Mus musculus: one gene and its partner. The protein of the gene in region 2 interacts with the protein of the main gene of each other region in a pairwise test. Links are inferred from orthologs where the notes say so. Each region holds a gene or a part of one and is shown on either strand. Other genes may lie near its edges. The genes, in order: Tnmd and Tmem79.

Region 1 (4,334 bases), on a different chromosome or scaffold from region 2:
TGTGTGTGTGCGCGAGCGCTCGAGTGCATGTGTGAACTCACATGCATGATTGAGGTATACTAGGAGTCTAATACTGCTTATGCCTTTTTGAGATCAGGAGTCTGGAGCTTTTGTGCATAGGAAAGTGGGAGGAAAGAGAAAGACTTAGTAGCATGGAAATGTCAACACCAGATGTAGGCTGTTAAATAAACACTGTTTATTATAAACAGATGTTGAAAGAGAAAACAAGAAGGAGTGTTGTGGGGGCTGCAAGAGCAAACACTGAGATCCCAGAGACAGCTCCAGCACAATGAAGGTATCACTCCTCCATTGAACAGACAAGCATCAAGAGTTATCTCTACCAAAAGCCACACAAGCCTCCCAAATCCCACAGGCAGCTAAAGGCAAGTCCAGAAGACCAAGGATTTTACTTTGCTAATCAGCCTTTCATTCCAGCTCATACTCTTAAGCAGAGAGTCTTAAATTTGTACAAGACACTTGGATCATTTTTCCTCTGGAAATATTCTTCCCAGACTAATAGGACTGCTTTTATTTTCTCTGGATTCGTAACTGCTCAGATGCAGGTCTAGTCAGAGTCTTGGTCACTAGGAGGTACATGGCTAGCCTCCCAAGTTCCTTGCCTGGGACTTAGAAGGTATTAGTTAAGTGAATAAAGAATCCATGCTGCTACCTGCTCTCTTGATTTAAAGTGATCCCAACCTGATTTTGTAGTGAAGGCCAGGACTTAGATAAGAAAAATAGTTTATTGCAATTCCTCATTGGAATAGAAAACAAGTAGTACTTATTCGTGGTAGAAAAGCTTATCCTAAGAGATACATAATGTATTTTATCTGCACTTCTTCATAATAACTTTGGTCCCTCATTTACACTCCTTTTGGTGAAAATTATGTATCCTAAGATGAATTACTTTAAGAGGGCTTTGATTTTTTCTTTTTAAATAAACTTTAATCAGTAGCACACCCCACCTTTTTTCATGCATGCACGACCTGAGTTTTATGTTTGGTTTCAGGAATGACAGAATTACTTTTTGGAAATCATATTTAAGAGAACTGGAATTGGAAACAAAGGTAGCATAATTGGAAGACAGGGGAGATCATGAACTCAGCTAGGGAGTGTGAATTCTTACAAGATAAAGGCAAGATCTCCTGAGTCACTCCCTAGGCATTTATTATCGCACTGAGGAAAATGCCATTGTAAGATTTAAAAACACATTAATACTGTTAGAATGCCATTTATACTGCCAATGAATACAAGAAAGTAAGAAAGACTATGTGTTCCCTGTTCAGACAGGCATCTATGAATGGTAAAGAAGATTAGCCACCTACCACATCCAGTGAAGGCTATACTTTCAGCAACAAAAATGATTTATGGTCCTGTATATAATTATGGTCCTTATCCAATTTCCAAGAGAATCACTGATTTAACTTTTGGGGTCACATATCACTTAAGGAATTAGCTAAGTGGTACTGTAAGGAAGTCATTGTGCTGGAATGAATGTTGGCTCTTGAGTCATTTTCTGATGGTGGTTTCTTTGCCCACCTTGCTAGCCTTAACATAGTTGGCTTCCCTAGAAAGACAGCTGCACAGTAAACAGTTCAAAAGCAGCAGGGCAGTGGGGGTGGGCTAATAGGAGTAGGTGATGCCTGAAAACCTTTCTGGAACATGATGTAAATAAAAGGGAAACAAATAAGTAGGCTTGTTTGCTCTCCCTCCCACTTAAACTTTATAAGGTATCCTTTGAGACTAAATGCAAACAGGTATTGCAGCAGAGGTAGCTGATCCCAGGGTGGCTATGCCTTACTTTTTGTGCTTTCAGTTGGATTTCTAGCCAGCTTATTTTATTTCTCTCCCCCTTTGTCTGCCTTTCCCACATGAACTCTTTGCTCCTATTGCTCCTTTGGCTCCTAATGGTCCATGCCAAACCATTTTCTTCTTGTCTCATTTTCCTTCCAGGATCTGTGTCTTTTCTTTCCCACATTTGCTACCAAGTAGAAATGAGTATCTCATGGCAAAAACAAAAACAAAAACAAAAACAAAAAACAACAACAACAACAACAACAACAAAAAACTATAACACCTGCAGGAGCTGCAGCAACAACAGTGACCTACAAATAGAGAAGAATATGGCAAAGCCAGAAACCTGTCTTCATGGGTTGTAGCTCATCTCATTTTCATTCAAATGTTAATTGTTAGCAAGAAAAAAAGCTTCCAGGAGATTTAACTCCTTAAAGTCAACCATAAAGGAATGGGTACATTTATCTACTGTCATTACTAACCAAAATGTAGAATACAATTTTAACCTCACCTAAATAAGCAAATGAAAGGAAAACTTTGATTTTATTTTCCTATGCCCCCAAATGAATAAAAAAGGATGAAAAGAGTTTTCAAATTAATTTCCATGTTAATCCCTAATTAAATACAATCAAATTCAGAAAAGAAACACCGGATAAGTTTCTGTTACTTACTTTCTTGGATACCTCGGGCCAGAAGTGTTTGCTCCCCCAAAACAGGACAATTAGAGTTAAGGCCAGGATACCAAACACTAGTCCACAAATCTTCAGTGATTTACATATCTTCTTAGATTTCAGAGCTTCTGCCTAAGCAAAGAACAGAAAGGATGAAACAATGTACAATAACCCTCAAAATAGCAAGCCATAATTCAAAGTCTCCTTCAATTTCACTTTCTAATGTTCACTTTGCAATACGATAAATCTGCAAAATCGTGCTCCTGCTCAAAAGGGAAAAAATATATGAATCAACTTACATTTAGAATGTGACAGCCCTCACAGTTCTCTGGAGGATTCTTTGCCATGGTCTCCCAGCACACGGTGCTCTTTCCCTGCTTTGAGAGGACTGAGAGGACTACTGCTGAGGTGGAGTTGCAAGTGAGTCGGCTACCAGATGCCGGAGGAGAAGCTGAATTTATATGGCTCAAATATGTCATACCAGAGCCGGAGGGAGCCCAGGGGGCTCCCGTGCTACGATTTGTTACATAGATATACCCATATATGTATATAACTTCTGTGCACAGAATTCCATCCAGAATGGCAAAGACAGAAGGTTATAATGAAAACTATTGTCTTGGGGGTTGGGTTGGAAGGGGATCAAGCCTAGGACACACTGAAATGATTTTTCACTATGAACTTAAAAATACCAGTGGCAATACATGCTGCACACTCCAGAAGTAAGCAAACAGAGCAGAAAAAAGGGGGACGACGACAAAGGTCTAATTTGATTTCCATGTAATTAAACAAGTATTTATTGTAGGAATATTAAGTATCAGGTACTTTCCTGAGTGCTAGAGAGTCAGAGATGAATAAGTTAGCATGTCTCCCTATGTAAAAGTATTCTGAATGCCAAGACCAAAGTATATTTGACTAATTATAATTGAAACCAGGATAAAATGAAGAGCAATTGTCAGCTTTTTCTCTTCATTCCATCTCTATGATGAATTTTCTATCCTTTAGTTGGTCCCTCAATGCTGGTATTTGTTATATTTCTTCATGCTTTTGTCACTTTAGCATATATGCTTAAATGATATTATCCAGTCCTGGAGTTAATATATCACTTATATAGCAATGCAACTCGATTCTGTGCCTGTAACCCAGTTCTGTCTTTACTTTCAAAGCCATTTGAACATCTCGAGCATCTGTACCCGGATGTAACTCAGAAATCGCAAACTCAGTATGTTACCTATCAAACTCTTTCCTTTTTAACACTTCCTTCCTCCAGCTTGCTTTCTTTTTACTAATCCTAATCTTGATTGGTGATTACAGTTAGTGTTTGGGATACCATAACAAAGCACTGCAGAATTATTGACTTGCATATAAAAACTCTACTCCTTGAAAAAAAAAACAGTCCTTACATTTCTGGAGGCTATAGTACATGATCAAGATGTCATCTAGGCTGCTTGCTTCTTTCCTTCCTTCCTTCCTCCCTCCCTCCCTCCCTCCCTCCCTCCCTCCCTCCCTCCCTCCCTCCCTCCCTCCTTCCTTCCTTCCTTCCTTCCTTCCTTCCTTTCTCCTCCCTTCCTTTCCCCTCCCTCCCTCCCTCCCTCCCTCCCTCCCTCCCTCCCTCCCTCCTTCCCTCTCTCCCTTCCCTTCTTCCCTCCATCCCTTCCTTCCTCCCTTTCTTCTTTCTCCTTCCTTCCTTTCTTTCATACATTTTATTTAGATTTTTAGTAATTTTACCTTTATTGAAAATAAAGTTATTTTCATAGACTATATTTAGATCTCACTTTCCTTCCTCATCTCCCAGATCCTTCCCACCACCTCACCCTTCCCTGTCTTAAGAAAACAGACAGGCAAATGAAAAAGACAAAGAGGGATAAAACA
Region 2 (4,402 bases):
TCTTTCTTTCTTTCTTTCTTTCTTTCTTTCTTTCTTTCTTTCTTTCTTTCTCTTTAAAGATTTATTTATTTATTATATGTAACTACACTGTAGCTGTCTTCAGTCACTCCAAAAGAGGGCACCAGATCTCGTTAGGATGGTTGTGAGACACCATGTGGTTGCTGGGATTTGAACTCTGGACCTTCGGAAGAGCAGTCAGGTGCTCTTACCCACTGAGCCATCTCACCAGCCCCTCTTTCTTTCTCTCTCTCTCTCTCTCTCTCTCTCTCTCTCTCTCTCTCTCTCTCCCTCCCTCCCTCCCTCCCTCCCTCCCTCCCTCCCTCCCTTCCTTCTTTCCTTTCTTTTCTTTCTTTTTTTTTTTTTTTTTGATTGTTTGTTTCGAGACAGGGTTTCTCCGTGTAGCCCTGGCTGTCCTGGAACTCACTCTGTAGACCAGGCTGGCCTCGAACTAAGAAATCCGCCTGCCTCTGTCTCCCAAATTCTGGGATTAAAGGCGTGCACCACCACGCCCAGTTAGAGGCCAATTCTTAAAGCTATTTGGATGGAGAGTTTCAGAGTAAAGTAGCTTCAGTGAACACACTAAATGACAAATGAGGTTAGAGTACGCAAGGCAATGGATTCAACACTATACTAAAAAAAAGTCAAAAGCTCCCCATTGCCATGGCTCTGAGACCAACTGCTACCCAGTGTAGCTCAACAGACAGCAAGCTCATCACTGCCTGGTGCACATCCAGAAACACCCCACCCCGACTCCCATCCCCGACCTCAGGTTTGCAGACCTTCAGCTCCCTGGAGGATCTGGAATCATGTCTTCCTCATGCCTACCCCAGCCATGGCCACCCCAGCCCCCGCCCGACTCACCGAGATATGGCAAAGAGACCGGTGAGCAGCGGGAGCAGCTTGAGGGTGTCCTGGGGCAGATAGGTGGAAAGCACAGCCAGGTTAAAGAAGTAGAGGATGAAGAGCTGCACAGACTGGGCCACGTACTGCCGGTGGATCTCCACTTCCCGCCTCGGCTCGCCGAAGGGCCGAAGCGCAGAAAAGCACAATAGGCTCAGCCCGTACACAAGGAGCCCTATCAAGAGGGTAAGCACATGGGATCAGAAAAGGCAGGAAGGTTGGGATGGGTTTCCCAGAAGATAGCTCTTTGGGTCGGGGCTACAGAGTGGACACAAGAGCTCCCTGGAGGAGAGGACAGAGAGTGGCAGGTTCAGGATACCCTGAGTGGTTCCAGCAGAATGAAGAGAAACCACCCAGTCGAAAGCTCTGTAATCCACTTCCCAGGTAGCCCTTCTCCACGGGGCCAGACTCACCGAGTACGATGGGAAAGGTGGCAAAGACCCCACAGCGAAGGGTGTAAACCAAGCGGGAGCTCATGGTGGGCAGCCTCGGGGCATCGAAAGGCAGGAAGGCGTATGCTCCGTACAGCAGACAGGGGAAGAAGATGAGGGCCGCCACCACCGAGGCGACAGCTCTCAGTGCCTCACGACCTCCACAGCTTCCACAGCCCCCGCAGGACCGGCCAGGGGGTCTCACCACGGCCTCAGCCCACTTGCGCTCTGGGGGCTCAGGGTGGCTGAGTCGAGCTGGCAGGAAATTCCTGAGCTCGCCTGGTCCAGCGTCGCGATGCAGGATGCGCTCCTCCTGTGGCTTCCGCTCGATGCACTGTAGATCAATGGGCACGAAGGCCCTAACTGTCTTCTCGGGGAGCAGGTTGGCATCCTCTTTGAATGGCTCCTCCGACTTAGTAGGTGCCTCTGACTCTAGGGGCTCTGGTTCAATATCTCGCCAGCCCGGGGGATCCGGAAGTGGGGCGCTAGGATGGGGGTCAGTTCCCCAGGGTAAAGTGGCAGCCTCACTTATTGTGCTGTCTGGACCATCCTCAGGCCCCTCTCTGACTATAGGAGACCCTACTGAAGACCCCACTCTGAGCGACTCAGTTCCAGGGGACTCAGTCCCACCTTCTTCCTCTGACTGCAGGACTAAAGCCTGCGGTGGGCTCTTCTCTGGAGTCTCGGGTTCCTTCATGTCCAGCAGGGCCAGTGTCTCCGGTTCTGTCATTGTGAGGCTTCAGTTCCGAGGGCTACCACAGAACGATGTCATCCTATAGGCAGTGGGAGAAGTTCTGTGAGAATACCTAGTCTTCTGGCCCCAGGACAGTTTCTCAGACCTAGAACTCCCCAGAGAAGCTGGCCTCATGGGACTCTAGGGAGAACACTGTGGGGAGGAAGGTGTTGAAACAGAGAGGCGGGCGGGCAGCAGAGGAGCGAAATGGAGGATCCCTTTCAAAATAAATGTCATCCAGCAGGACAAGGGTGAGTCAGGGGGCACAAGCAGAGGCAGGTGTGGCCTGTCTATACCCACACCTGCCTTCTACTCTCTCCACTAAAACTCCCGGATTTTTGGCCACCCTGGCTTTGGAATGGGAGGCTGAGGTGTCTAGGACTAGGCGGAGTTTCTCTACAGCCAAGGGTCACCCTATAGATAGAGAAATTGGCCCTTCCCCCTTCCTTCCACCTGCCCTTTGACCTGCAGGTCCCTCCAGGAACTCGACACCAGATCTCGGTTCCTCAGTCTCCATTCCAGGAGTCGGTCATTTTCTGAACTCTCCCATTGCCAGTCTCACCCGATTCAGCTGGGCTGGGCTCCACTCAGACTCCCAGCTCTAGTGTGGCCGTTCCCAAGCCTTCCTCTTGTTTCCTCCCCTGCCACCCTCCAGCTCACAGCTTCTGGATTGGGCTCCCTTCGTTCACCTCTTGGGCCCCTCCTACCCCTGCCCTTTGGATCCATGATACCCTCTTACTTTCCATCTGCAAAGAGGCGGAGGATCTCCGGAAAGGAGCTGCCTAGCTCCTGGCTGGCTCTGCAAGTATTTCCCAGTTTCCCTCCCTTGCCTGTGTCTCCAAACCTGTCTGACCAGAGCGGGTGGGGCCCAGATTAAAGGCGCAGGCCCTGCCCTACAGAATCTGCCTACTGGAAGGACTCTACAGGAGGACGTCATCCTTTTTGAAAGTAAGGGTGCAGCTGGGCACAGAGGTGTGGACTTAATGTATTCTGGGATCTGTAAGAGCTTCCAGCTCAGGGAAGCATCAGGGTATAAAAGTGGGTTTGTGTATCAAAGGGTGCTCAGAGTAAATTGGCTAAAAGATGACACTGCAAGTTTGTTCATCCAGTAAATGTTTATTGGGTATCTATTATTAATGAGGCGCTATTTCTGTGGTGGTACAAGCCTTTAATCCCAGCACATGAGGCAGAGGCAGGCAGATTTCTGAGTCTGAAGCCAGGCTGGTCCAGCAGCCAGAGTTATGTAGAGACTCTCTCTCTCTCTCTCTCTCTCTCTCTCACACACACACACACACACACACACACACACACACTCCAACAAACAAAAAAAGTGCTAGTCTAGGCACATGTACAGAAAAGAACAAAGTGACAAGGTTTCTAGCTGTTCAGGTAACCAACATTAAAGTTCACACCAAATCAGTAGTAGAATTTCAGTAGTGAGAGCCTCTTTAGGGTGACTGAAGCTGAAACCCAGTGGAAGTTCCCTGTAGAGGAACAGCGCAGCCAACAGATGGAAAAAGACTTGAGGCAGTTTGAGGAATAGAAAGGAGACTTGGTGGCTGGAGCCAGGAGCATAGTGGTATATACATTGCCATTATAATGTGGAGAGAGAGAGAGAGAGAGAACCCCAAAGATCCGCCTTATAGTTAGGAAAACAATAGGGCTGACAAGATGGCTCACCAAGCCTGACTACCTGAGTCTGATTCCCCAGAGAACCACACTTTTAAAAGAAAACTGACTCTCCCAAGTTCTCTGGCCACGTGTATGTTGTATGCATGCACCCACAAAATATAAATAAATAACTCTCTCGGGAAGAATTCCTTTAAAAAACAAGCAACTTCAGGAGCCACCCCTCAGGCGCGCTGGGATTTTGGCAGCTGACTTGACCTTGTGCATGCCGATCTCCACAACCTCCGGATCTTAAAATCTTTTCGCTGCCCCTCTTCTGCAACGATGTCTGATTCAATGATAGCTGGCCCATTCGTTTTATTATTTTATGCACTTTGGCGTTTTGCCTCTAAACATGTCTGTATGAGGGTTTCGGACCCCCTGGAGCTGGAGTTTCAGATGGTTGTGAGCTGCCATGTGGGTAGTCACTTCTCCAGCACCTAGCTGTCCCATGGCGAGCTTTGCACTCTACGGTCTCTTTTCTTTTCCCCTGGAAACTTAATTTTTTTAAATTCATTTTATTTTGGGGGCTAGGGAGCGTGACACGGAGCTCGCGTGTGAAGTTCAGGCCAACCTGCTGGAGTCAATTCACCTTATACCATGCGGGCTCCAGGGGTCGGGCTCAGGTTGGCCGCAAGCGCCTTTAGCCGCTGAGTCATCTCGCCAGCGC

The links.
Region 1: the proteins of Tmem79 (region 2) and Tnmd interact in binary tests that used the Homo sapiens proteins (3 or more experiments, as listed by UniProt). The two-hybrid records come from large-scale screens. The link is inferred for Mus musculus from reciprocal best matches to the Homo sapiens genes TMEM79 and TNMD.

The regions. Positions count from the first base shown.
Region 1 is NC_000086.7:133,849,685-133,854,018, reverse strand, and holds the start of Tnmd (tenomodulin), read right to left. Parts: upstream 3,012-4,334; 5' UTR 2,813-3,011; coding exon 2,765-2,812; intron 2,598-2,764; coding exon 2,466-2,597; intron 1-2,465. UniProt on the Homo sapiens protein: May be an angiogenesis inhibitor.
Region 2 is NC_000069.6:88,331,579-88,335,980, forward strand, and holds the start of Tmem79 (transmembrane protein 79), read right to left. Parts: upstream 2,856-4,402; 5' UTR 2,804-2,855; intron 2,752-2,803; exon of another isoform or gene 2,530-2,751; intron 2,105-2,529; 5' UTR 2,062-2,104; coding exon 1,314-2,061; intron 1,076-1,313; coding exon 862-1,075; intron 1-861.